Daphnia pulex: one gene and its partner. The protein of the gene in region 2 interacts with the protein of the main gene of each other region in a biochemical or structural test. Links are inferred from orthologs where the notes say so. Each region holds a gene or a part of one and is shown on either strand. Other genes may lie near its edges. The genes, in order: syntaxin-5-like and general vesicular transport factor p115-like.

The links.
Region 1: the proteins of general vesicular transport factor p115-like (region 2) and syntaxin-5-like form a complex in vitro, tested with the Homo sapiens proteins (2 studies listed by BioGRID). The link is inferred for Daphnia pulex from reciprocal best matches to the Homo sapiens genes USO1 and STX5.

What each region holds. Positions count from the first base shown.
Region 1 is NC_060017.1:4,339,672-4,346,013, reverse strand, and holds syntaxin-5-like, read right to left. Parts: upstream 3,209-6,342; 5' UTR 3,055-3,208; coding exon 2,612-3,054; intron 2,546-2,611; coding exon 2,490-2,545; intron 2,421-2,489; coding exon 2,179-2,420; intron 2,092-2,178; coding exon 1,721-2,091; intron 1,653-1,720; coding exon 1,493-1,652; 3' UTR 1,255-1,492; downstream 1-1,254. Other genes in the region: leucine-rich PPR motif-containing protein, mitochondrial-like, read right to left, coding at 1-90; proteoglycan 4-like, read right to left, coding at 3,974-4,351, 4,642-4,656; importin subunit beta-1-like, read right to left, coding at 6,237-6,342. UniProt on the Homo sapiens protein: Mediates endoplasmic reticulum to Golgi transport.
Region 2 is NC_060025.1:2,004,981-2,011,465, forward strand, and holds the start of general vesicular transport factor p115-like, read right to left. Parts: upstream 4,287-6,485; 5' UTR 4,167-4,286; coding exon 4,098-4,166; intron 3,912-4,097; coding exon 3,538-3,911; intron 3,466-3,537; coding exon 3,167-3,465; intron 3,106-3,166; coding exon 2,990-3,105; intron 2,896-2,989; coding exon 2,511-2,895; intron 2,424-2,510; coding exon 2,215-2,423; intron 2,149-2,214; coding exon 2,026-2,148; intron 1,957-2,025; coding exon 1,846-1,956; intron 1,781-1,845; coding exon 1,609-1,780; intron 1,470-1,608; coding exon 1,393-1,469; intron 1,326-1,392; coding exon 1,224-1,325; intron 1,154-1,223; coding exon 911-1,153; intron 813-910; coding exon 744-812; intron 667-743; coding exon 388-666; intron 323-387; coding exon 260-322; 3' UTR 1-259. UniProt on the Homo sapiens protein: General vesicular transport factor required for intercisternal transport in the Golgi stack; it is required for transcytotic fusion and/or subsequent binding of the vesicles to the target membrane.

The DNA of each region.
Region 1 (6,342 bases), on a different chromosome or scaffold from region 2:
ATTACTCCTTCCACCATTATTTAAATCAAAACTTCTTGTTAAATTAGAGAATAACCGAAAAAACTTTCCCGAACGTAACATTGAAGCCATTTTTCAGTTTTCCACTCTTCGGAGGGCGTCCCTAAACTGCGAAAGCGAAACGCGAAACGCGAAACGCCTAAAATGCGGAAAAGCTGTGCGAAACGGACCAAAATTTTGGGACCGTTTCGCGGGACCAAATGCCGGAGGGCATACTAAAGAGCGAAACATCTTGCGAAACAAAAAGTTTTCCTATTCTCCACAGAGGCACAGAGGTCCAAATTGACGGAAATTGCCGCCATTTTTCATTGTCTGCTATGATGAGGCATTAAAGGAGGAAGGGGGGCAATCAAATTCGATTTCTTCGCCACTACCCCTGTATGTTTTGATGCGCATTTTACGATTATTAAACTAATGAAAGACATAGAGCAGCACGTTATGGTGATATTTTTAAATAATAAAATATTAGGTAATGGCCCAGGGATTACATCGGATTACATTAAATAATTTAAATCAACCAGTAGGTACGTGCACAAAGAAAGAATCGGCCATAACAGTATGAGTGCCTTATATCAAGCTAAAAGTCAAAGCTACCATGTTCCAAATCAAGCTAAAATTTAATCAGCTAAAACTTTCCTTAAAATTAAGAATGTTAATCTGATTGATACTGATACAGTATGGAAACGAGAAGTTCCATTAATTTTTTTATACCAATCTTCTAATTAAAACACCTATTACATATTGCATTCAAGGTATTTCGTATTCATGGTCAACACACAAATAGACCAGCCATAAGGTGCGCGAAACTCGAAAATTTGAAACTCTTAACAATTTGTTTGTTGACGGCGTCCATTGTCGTCTGCTACCAAGACGTTTACACTGCGACGTTTCGCACACACCGATTTCGCAGTTTAGTACGGACCCAAAGACTAAAATGCGAAACAGGGTCTCAACTTTTGGGTCCGTTTCGCACAGCTGTTTCGCATTTTAGGCGTTTCGCGTTTCGCGTTTCGCTTTCGCAGTTTAGGGACGCCCCTCTTCGGAGTAAGAGAGCACACACTCGAAGATTCAGAACTGCGGGCTAGTACTAAACTTTGGGAAAATTGTTGCGGTATTTTTTTAGATCAGAGGGTGATTCTAAACAACCTTTCAAAATACAGCTGACGGAAATGAATGGAATTGGAATGCAATTTAAAAAAATACTAGCTGGCTAGCTATAATATTGAAGATGTCAAATATAGATTAGAATTTATTTATTCTTCTGATATTTTACTATTGAATTTTATTCTTAATACATCACAGTTTATAACTTCATCATGAAAATCACCAGAAGTCTGCTGGGCAACATTTTCGTCAGAGGGCACATCTACATTCGTTAATCAAGCACAATGGAGAAACGAACCGTGAGTTTTAAATTCATTAGGATCGAAAATTGTATTGGTAAATGAATTGGAAATCGTACTTTAGATAATTTTCAAGCAAAAAAGATGGCGAATATTACAACAAACACAAGGACAACCCCAAAGACTTTTAGCATCAGCCACCTATTAGAAGAGACGGAACGAAAGTAACGCAAGAGTTCGTCATGAGCGGCTTCCACATTAAGTTGGGCATCGTCGACATTCGAGTCAATCCTACACGAAGAAAAATATTTCCATAAATTCTTTGTTATAACATATTCTAAAATAATTAATATTATTACCGCTGAACCATTTCTTCTTGTTCGCGAACCATGAGAGCCAGTTGCTGGAAAATTCCGCCCAACTCCACGATAGTGGATTCTATACTTTGGACTGCGTCAGAACGACTTTGCAGGTAAGATTCTGTTTCGTCGGCAAACACTTGCTGCTGAATTTGATTCCTGTTGGTTCTGTTGTCAGCGGCACCCATGTCGATAGCTACTGCTTCTCCTCCATGGGCTTGATAGGCAGCATCACGGAGTAGAACAGATCCTTTAGAACCATTTTGAGAGGATCCAAACGGTCCTCCTGTCAAGGCTGCAGCCGGTAAATCAGAAACGACTGGGACGGAGCCAGAAAACTGTTCTCGACGGCTTCTCTGGGCTTTAAGATTCTAAAATATTTTCAAAACATTCATTTTACTGAATATCCTAGATAATAAAATCTAGTAGTTATTTTTTAAACTAGGAAAGGCGTGTACCTCAGTGCGGACTTCAAGGACTTGTTTGAATTCAGAAGACATATTGGCTAGCTTCGACTGAAGAGCTACAACGACATTTGCTGAATGGGCCTTGGTATTTTGTTGTTGATTCTGTTGCTTTTTCATGAATCCTTGCAGATGAGCAATCTGTTTGTTCAGATTTGTGATATCTTCACGGATGATGTAAGTCAGTTCTTGGATCTCTTGAGGACGATCATCAAATAGCGTTCGTTTTTTCGCCACTGCAAGCATAAATGTGAAACCATGAAATGATTGGTTGAACAGTAGAAATTAAAAACAAAGCTAATTACATAGAGTTAGTTTTTCCAGTTTTGCATATGTGTTGCTCAAATCCTTACTAATAACTCTGTACAGAAAAAAATTTGAATATTTTCAATAGTTGCAAATATTTTCTTAAAAGTCGACAACTTACTTTGCCACTTTCATGAATTCAGAGTACTGTTGATGTTGATCTGTATTCTTAGATGGATGTGATTGACTCGGCCTCCCAACTACTCCGTTAACTGGCCTACTCTGGAAGCTTCTGACTGCAGAGAGAAACTCTGCAGTCCGATCACGTGAAGAAGCATTGGTGGAAGACAGAACTGATGAACTCGAATTAGATGCTAGGGCCATCATGTCAGCGCTGTTGGTTTTTGCTTGAACATCTACAAATTTATCTGTTGAATAATTTGGTGCAACAAATGCACCTATTTCACCCTGCGGAACAATGAAAAAGGATGGCTGCTGTTGAGGACTTTCTCCCGACCACAGTAAAACGGATGAAGAGCCTTTCAGGACTTGGTTTTGCAGTTGGGTTTCAGCAAGCGGCTGATGCTCCGATTCAGAGCCTTGCCGGCGTCTTCGAGTAATCATCCGTCAAAAATTTATCTCTCGAAAAATTCATCCGTTTTCGTCTTTGAAATCCAAATAATCGGGAACGCCAGATATTTTGCGACAAGAAACTATACCGAATGCCACGTCATATTAAGGGTTGTCTGCAGAGTGTGTGCAGACGAAAAAATACCAAACATTAGCCGTAATTCCCAACGTTGCCAACGTTAATTATCTACTGTATAAAGTTCAATATTTATCATTTTATTTTAACCTTTATCCAGCTTTATCAATTACTATTATTAATTACTATGTATAGACTTTATCTTTCTACAATGTTGGTTTGCTTTAAATGTCGCAAATTCCTCCTAAGAGAAGTATGACTTACGTACTAGGTTCTCCATCGTTCCCGCGTCATACCAATCAAAATTATGTTTTCATCTCAATTTATTTTTTTTTATTTAGGAAAAGCCGTTTTCATTGCTAGCGAGGGAAGACCAAAACAATATTATAATGCACACTTAGAAAAGTGTACTCATGTGTAATTCTACTGTTGAACACAGAAGTTCCCAAACATTTTTTTTTACATATAAATTTGTAAAGCATTTCTGTTAATTTTATTTTATTTCCTTTCCAAAAATTTTTAACAACCGTCTCAAGATTTACGCTTGATTGCCAAAGCTTACGTAAATCTTCAAATCCCTATAAAACACAAGCAAATAGTATTTGGTTGTACGGAAATAAAATCGTAAATGAAATAATATTGATAACAAACGATTTCTGCATATTATATTTACTAAATATCACTGCCAATTAAATAAGAATAGCAAATTGAGTCGTATTACTCAGAAAGAGACGGCCTGCTCATATTCGAAACAACGATGGAATGTTTAACTGTGGGCCTATAGATATGTAAAGATTGAAGAAACAACAAAGAAAATGATGGCCGGAATTGAATCATTTAAACTTTCTTGGTCGTGGCTGTGCGCTTAACCGTAGTGGACGCGCGCTTAGCAGTTGTAGGTGCGCGCTTGACAGTAGTGGTCCTAGGTCTAGGTGTTGTAGATGCGCGCTTGGCAGTTGTGGGTGCAGGTCCACGCCTAACAGTAGTGGTTCTCGGTTTAGCTGTTGTTCCTGCCCGCTTGACAGTAGTTGTTCTCGGTTTAGCTGTTGTTCCTGCGCGCTTAACCGTTGTCGATGAACGCTTAACAGTCGTAGCAGCACCAGCCATGGGCTTAGCCGTCGTCGATACCTGTTTAACAGTTTTGGGCGTTGTTTTTGAAGCACTCTGCTGGGAATTAGCCAGCGAAATGATGGCTACCACAATAAAAATCTTCACCTATTGAAATCAAACGCATTTTCATTAAATATTTATCAAAGAGTATACACAGTCATAATTTGTTATTGGTAAAATCACTTTCGCCGTGCTTTTGGCCGCTTGGTAGCTTAGAGGCAAGGCTTTAAATACGAATTTTTAAAAATCATTCAGGAAATAGAATACATGAAATACTATTTCAATAAATCGCTGCACTACATCCCAAATGAATTCCATTTAAATTGATTCTACGGCCTATGTCTAAATATAATACAGGTGTAACAGATACAAAGTAAATGTAACAGTGATCATACCAATAAGTACTTCATTGTGTTGAATTTTTCTTCTAGCTGCCGATGAAAAGGAGTTGTTTTCTCGAACGAAGATTACTGGTTACTTGATCAGGAATTACCGAGTCACGCATTAATATAGCCGCGGATGCCCATTTTTTTTTTTTTTTTTGCACTTCCTTCTTCACTTCTAACATTTTTATGTTGTATTGGCGGATAGTTTCAGTCCTTCTTGTTCAGAAAGGATATTTCCTTCGGTGGTCCGAACCACGTAGGAGGATCATCTATCTTTGCCATAAGAATTGTTCTTGTACTGCAATGCTGCGTGACTATTCATTCGTTTTCTAGCGGACAAGCTTTTCCGGTTTAACAACTCCGCGGCTGTCAACATTTGGTAACAAGACAATGAAGAATCAAAAATGCAAAAGCAAAAAAAAAAAAAAGCAAATAAAAAAAACATGAATGTTCAAATTCCAGTTTTTTTCTCAAAGAAAATTAGCATTTTCAAATCAGTTTCAAGCAATCTTCAGTCAGTTTTTAACTTTTTATAATTTTTTTTCTGAATTTCATTCGATCGCTATTGGTTCTACTTTGTTCTAAAAATATTCCCCGTACATTTGGCCAAAGGTAATTGTAAAATTACTCACCAAGAATCAATTTAAGAAATTCCCCCTAATCCACACACTCTGAGGAGTCAAGAACCGCTCGTATCTTGTCATTTAATACATTTTCCATTGAAATTTGAAGCAGCAGTTGATGTGTTTTTTTTAAGACAAATCATTTTTATTTTTATGACATCACCTTTTATTTATTTTATTTTTGACCTTTTCTTTTCTTTTGAACAGATGAGTTGGCCCAAGTTTGAGTAGGATGGATGGATTCTTCTTGTCATGCAAATCAAGATTTTTCGTTCATTCACCTGCGCAAACGTGCGTGCTTGATTTTAGAAAATATGCATTGCTTACATTAAAAAGCGCAGCAGTATCCAAAACTAGTTTGGCAAACCAGCTTGTTCATTCTTGACCGTGAAATCAGGAAGACGTTGTATTGTATCAAAGCCAAAAATTCTCGACATGTTGATGTATACGATACGGTGACATTTCAAATGCATACGAAAAAAAAAAACATAATTGGTCATTCAACTCTCCTCAAAGCACAAATAACGCAAACATACGCTCAAACCGGATTGAATGATTAACTCATTTGTAAGTCAAAGCTATCGGTTGAGGACTTGGAGGTCACCACGTAAACAACTACATGGAAGTTTATATTTGAGCACGTAAGAGTACGCTCACGCATAAACTCCTCCTTGTCCATCGCCCACTACCATGCCCAGAGGGGCAGAGGCCCAGGGTCAAGAACAAAACAAATGGAAGCTTCAGAGGAAGAATATCAAACAAAGTTCTTTGCCAGTTTCATCTGACGTACTAATGATAACAACCAAAAATCTTTTTCAAGTATGACTAAACTGAGATCACCAATAACTATTTTAGATTCAACAGCTTGGTTTCCTGAAGATAGAAATTTACCGGTAATTTGGCCTTCATTTTATTTTTCATGGCACGATAAATAAATATTTGCTTTTACAGGTTCCATGATATAAGGGGAAAATATAATCATTATTCAACAGCGTTAAAAGCTTCAAGTGCTGACATTGCAAACTTGGGCTCACTGAACTCGCCTTTTGACTCACGTGAATTATCAGCGAGGTGTACTGCAGCACTG
Region 2 (6,485 bases):
GACCTTTTGGAACAATTGTATGCTTTCCGAGACAAGACAAAGATGTACACACACAGAGTCTCACTAACTTTACCAACGTCGGTAATCTGCAACACACACGCACAAGGTTAGACTTTTTCAATGGATAATTGGTGTGGGTGTTTCGCCTGTTTTAAAACAAAAGATTCTTACTCTTTTCCCCCCCAGAGGCCATATAATAATAATTTTTTAAAAATATAAATTTATCAATTTAATAATTATTTAGTTTGGTTTTGTTTTTTCAAACTGAAAGTTCGTCATCGCCAGCCAAATCGTCCAGCTCATCATCTTCATCTTCACTGACCTGAAATTATTAAAAATGAATGAATGAATGAAATACAATGAAATTAATATTAAAGTATGAATTACCGTTTGACCGAGGTTTTTCAACCGGTCCTTATATTTTAGCACCTGTCCATCCTGATCGGCTAAAAGGACAAGCAAGTCTTCCTGATCTTTTTTGACTCGTTCAATCTCGTCTTGAAGTCCGGCATTGACCGACAGACAGTCAGCCAATCGCTTCTGCGAATCGCCTAATTCCGCTTCCATCGCTTCCAGTCGACTCTTGACTGCTTTGAGCTCTAGCTCGAGCGGATTAGCTGCCGACGTTGATTCCGGTTGACGAAAGAACGAACACACTTGGACGTCCTGAAAAAAAAATAAAATTAAAAAAGAGATGACAATCATCCAGGAATGATTCCAAACAGAAAAATAGCTGCTGATACTTCATGCGTGGTAAAGCTATCCATTATGGAAGCCGATTGGGTTGAAGCGAATTCGACAGCGATTCCGTTCTACATGCAGCGGATAATATATGTGTTGAATCAGTAAACCATGCAAAAGCTGCAAAAGGAATCCCAAAATGCATCCGCATCATGACATGTATACTCACAGACGGAGGAATGCCAACGTAGTGATTGGCAGCTTGTTGCTGCTCTTCCAGCTGACCGCGAAGTCTCTCATTGTCTAGACGTAACGCTTCCAGCTCTTTCACCAACTTGTCAGTCGACGATTCGGGTGGCGGAGTTGAAGGCTCGCCTCCGTCAATTATGACGTTATTGTTCCGTTGGGCCTTGAGCAATGTATTTTGATCCTGGAGGTGCTGCACGTTGACGTTCAACTCTTCGATCTTGCTCTGAGAGTGCGTCACAAGGTAAATCAAGAAATTGTTCTCCCAGCGTAAAGGTTTTCTCGGGAAAATATACCTGAGCGGCTATGTGATCCCCTTCCAAGGCAGCTAATCGCTGCCGCAGGTGTTGTATCTGTCCATCTTGCTCACGAATGACGTCCTTGTATTTGGCCAAAGCCTTCAATTCCGATTAAAAGATATTTGTATCATAGATATCGATTATTATTACGATTATTACGACCTACCATCGATTCGGACGGGGATTCGGCTCCTTTAGGACTGGTAGGCGGAGCCACCGCTTTGGCAATGACACCCTCTAGTCCTATTAATAGAACGAAACACAAGAAGGAAAAAAAAGAACTGGTTAAAGCTATATCTAAAGATGAAATCCAATCCAAGTCCTGTCAGTCAACTCTATACGTTGATCGAGTAGCCATGGCTGCCAGCGGGAAATTGAATACCTTTGTACAAGCGACAGAACTCGTGATCGAATTGGATATCAGCCGCGGTATTGATCCGAATTTGAGGGTGTTTGAGGGCTTTGCTGTACACTTCGTGTTTAGCGATCTCGGCAAGTTTGTCGACGAATGTTTCGACTCCGATTCGCTTGGTTATTAGTTGGCACAGGGATTCCTACATGACGATAACACTCAATACAGTAAATGACTAGGTGCAACTGGGCAGCAACGAAAATATACCTTGGAAAAGTTGCTGTTTGCATCGTTGTTGTAGACCACGCAGAGTCCTAGGAGAAAAGCGCACAAGCTCTGCACAAGCACCTCTTGGTCGTCGTGCTCATTGGAAGCCACCTAAGATAACATTTCCCAATTTTTCTTTTACTAGGAGATACTTTAAGATAATTTGAAATGGGATTTTACCAGGGCCGTTAAAAATGCCACAGCATTTGGGAGTTTTAAAAATTGAGCCACAGAGTTGGGGCTATCTGCCAACCAGGTGGACAATAACGTCAGAATACCCAGTCGAGTCTGCAACTTGCCACCCTGAGACACACATAAATGTTAGTCAGAAACGTATAGTTCAAGATGAATTTGAATCAAGAAATTTACCAATTGGAGTATACTAAAAGCTTGTTGTAGGAGGGAAACGGGTGCGACATCTTTGGCGATAGCCAAGTGCACCCTTAGCAACAGTTCCCTGTTGTTGGTGTTGTTGACAAGAGCGTGAGAGAGTGCCACGGAAGAGAGCCAGTGAGAAAGGCAGTCGGTCGAGAACAGTCCACCGCACAATAATTGGCCAGCTGAAATTTGCTGCATGGCTATGATACGAAAAAAAGAGAAAACAGGTTTAATGTTTCCATGCCGGCTGGATATCACTTTCTCTTGCGGGGGGGATTATTATTCACCTTCTGCCGATGTGGGTAAAAGTGCCTGGATAATCTGTCCCTGACTGAAATCGTTCTTGTAGAGGAAACACTCGAAACAGTAGAGAACGGACGCTCGGAGCAGCACCGGCTGCTTTTCGTTGACCATAGACATGAGGAGAACGACCAAGGCTGTTCGCGGCGGTGACGAAGAGGCCATCACTTGGCCAAAGAATTCTTGATTGCTCCGGCAGCCGCGAATCGATTCGCCGACTGTGCAGATGATTTCGCTGAGGATGTCAGCCGGAACGCCGGGCGACATGAGTAGAGCACACAATTCGGAAAGCAGACCACAGCCGGCCACATTTTTCTGGGCTGGAGACACCACTTGAGTGGCGTTGGCCGGAGATACCAATGTTCTTACCACCTGTGGGGAAGAGATATATAACAGTACTTACTAACTCTCACTCTTTCCCTTTTTATTTATAGAATTAGGCTGTCGATGATGATTTTGTTTATACCTGAAGCATGGAATGTACATTGCTAATCTTCTGTATAGACCAACTGCCAGTTGGATCACCCCCCTCCGACTGTTGGCATGACTGGAAAAACGGTGTGATGTGCTTCATGCAGGATTCTGGTGGTTGCAATCGACTTTTTAAAATAGAATTCGAATTGAAATGAATTAGATGGATTACCTTCTCGAAAGACTGTCTGGTTTGAGGCGTTGCGTTTGAGGAGGTTGAGCATAAGTTGTAGGGAATCGTCTACGACGATACCGCCGTCACTGTAGCCCTCGCTGCGAACGACTTGAAAGAGCTGGTCGAAACCACGTTCATAGGCGATAATGTTTTGAATGTTGGCATTGCTTTTAGTCAGCTGGATGAGAAGGAGTAAGGCTTCGTTTCGCACGAAATCCCGGCTATCACTGAGGATATCGATTAATTTGGCCACACCCATCGGACATGCCAGAACAATTTCCTGCATTTCTTTCGATCTGTGAAAAAATGTGTATAATTAATAAAAGGTTTTTTTTAAAATAATGAACGAGTTAAAAATAGACACTGACTTGTTGTTTAAGAGGTTCATTAGCAGACGAATCGCTGGAAGTCGAACGTGAAAATCATATTCGTCTAGTAACGTGATGACGCTTATGACATTCTCTGCTTTTTTGAGAAAGATTTCAGTGAACTGCTCTCCAACTGGGGCACCGACACCCTCTTCTTCAAAAACCTCTGATGAAGTTACATTGCATAATGTTTCCAGGACGAAACTGGATGTCTCCAGATCCGGCTGGCCATTGAGCACCTCAATCAAGGCATCCAAGCCGTGGGCCCCCACTTCCAATCGATACTTTTTGGAAAGGGCTTTGATGGCTCTGCAGGCATCCCGTTTGTCCTCCAGCAGAGTCGAAGATGTGACTCTCTCAACCAGTCTCAGCACCTGATGAATAGAAAAAAAGAATATTTTAAAGAAGCAATCTTGACACGAATTCCCCCAAAAATAAACTCAAAAAGTCCTTCACACGCCATCGAATTTTACGGGCCACAGCTGTTTATCAGAAAAGAAAACGGTCAAGGACACGACTGCACTTAAGTGATTGACGTTAATTAATGTCAATTGAATTACCGTGTCAGCAGGAGAAGGCTCCGCTTCCGGCTGGCTGATGACAGACTTGAAGCCGAAAAAATAATCCATCACGACTTTGGGAAAGTATGTCTATAATAGTTCTATTTATTTATTTATTTACTTCTAAATTTGGAATCAAAGCCGTTTGGGTTACACGTCATTTCGATTCAACCAATTTCGTCTGCTTGGCTTTGTTGCCAGATATTTAAAATGGGCCGCGTTGAGCCGGTCACTAGGGAGGGCTTTTTGAATGGGATTTCGTGTTAGATTTGACAGATTCGCAGGTATCGGGTGTTGGCTCGAGGTCAAATTTGATCCTTTTGACGAATTCTCTGTTAATTTGAAATACATATCCTATCACGCGCTGAGGATATCCTTTCGCTCCGTGCCGCGTCTAATATTTAACGAATATAATTCTAGACTTGACATCCTGTCGATCGATCGAGGGGAAGAACGGATTGGGTTACAGCCTGCTGGCCACAGGCAATCTTTTACCAGGTGAAACAAAGAACCGTGCAGCAAGGAGGACCACTGTAAGCAGCGGTCGTGCTGCTGCTTGGTCCACAAAGATTCATGTATAATTCTAGTTTGGAAAATTATTTTTATCTACTGACGAGATCTATCTCGACCTTCACGCACAAATTGTGTGGGAAGTGTCAAACGGGATATCATGCCCAAGGCTTTCCTTTCCCTTGTTCTTTTGTTGTTTTTATTGTTGTCAAAGGTTTTTTTAAAAAAAAGAATCCCTATCCGCAAGAACTTGAAATACCTGCTTATAACGCCCGATTTTGCAGCGAGTGGTCTGCTGCCAGTCTGCTGCCAACAGCCTTATATCTTTTTTGCATACATTAGCCAACCACACAGTAGACATGAGGAAGCTATAAATCCTTATAATCCCATATCCTTTTTTCCCAAAAATGGAATTTTAACGTTTCAGGGTTCTGTTGAAAACAAGGCTGAACTGTGATATATCCCCTAGCACATCCAGAAAAAAAAGTTCTTTGTTGCAGCTAGAATTATTGATTGGTGGTACTATTATATAGCGTACCTTTTTTTTCTTCTCAACTTTAATCCATTTCTTTCCCTGCACCTCGCATCCGGCTGGCAGCTGCTGGTTGCAAACTCTTCCTGGACTGCCGTGAGCAGTCAGCAACAGAGTATATACAGTATATAATATACACAACAACACAATGTCTCTGGATGGCTATTGGCTCACCGGTAGTTTTAAGTTGCTGTTGCCATCCGAAGCCCTTAGCCTACGTGATGTCGAGCAGGGAAACCAGGAACTCCCTTCCTTGTAGTACCCCCTACGTTATTATTTTTATTTCACTTGGATTTTTTGTTTTATATTTGCCCTTTGTTCATTCAGTCCGTCATGCAAAACGTTGTTATCTTTTTTCCGTCTTCTGGTTTTTTCTAGAAGCCTTTAAAAAACCAGTTCGGAAATTTTGATACAGTAAAATAAAAATGGCTGATGTAAGAGATAAGAAAAATTTCTCCGGAAAAAAAAATTCAAGTCTCCCAAGACAAAGAAAAAGAGGTTGAGTTTAAATAAAAGAAAACAAAGAAAAAAGATGAAGTAAAAATATGGGGTGATTGCGTGTGACGTCACTGTTGCTGTGGGCCGCTAGGGCAATACACACTATACGCCAATATCCCCATTACCCTGGCAAACCCCTCCCAGACAAAGAAAGGAACATCAAAGTTCACAACAGATAACGTAGTCACTCTCGGATCCGGGACAAAGAAACACCACGCTACACCAGCGACACTCGACGGCTGGCGATGGATATTTAATTCATAACTAATGAAATCTTTTCATTTTCACGCTTTAAATTACTTAAAAATAGCTTCAGTTCAATGTAAAATAATTACAATCAACTTTCGTGTTGATCAAGTACGTAATTAGAATCAAATTATCTAGAAGATTCTGTGCACAGAGGGCTCTGGCGTCAGTTGAAACAATGTCGTCTGCTTGGAAACCGAGTGAACGCACCGTCAGTCTGCAGTGGTCGTTGCTAAGGTAGTCAACTCGAGAACAGAGGCCTTTCTTTCTCAGTCGATGGGCACCATTCACGTTGAAAAGGCTGTTTCACTTTGCAGTCGCCATCAATCGCCCTTGTTCTTTCACTAACAAAGACCGGCCCACTTTTTCTCCCTTATTCTCTTCTAAATTTTCACCTTGATCAAAGCAAAAAACAGTTCTTTTTCGCACACAGTCTCTCAAGTTTTTAAAGCAAATCACACAATCCTTAACTACCAAGAAACCCCCTTGCACGTTATTAAATTCGCCGGCTCTTTTTTCCCTTGTTTTATTCGTGACGTCCGAAATTTCGCCAACATTGAAGAAAATGGAGGTTATGCCGTTGCCAGTTGCTTTTGATTTTA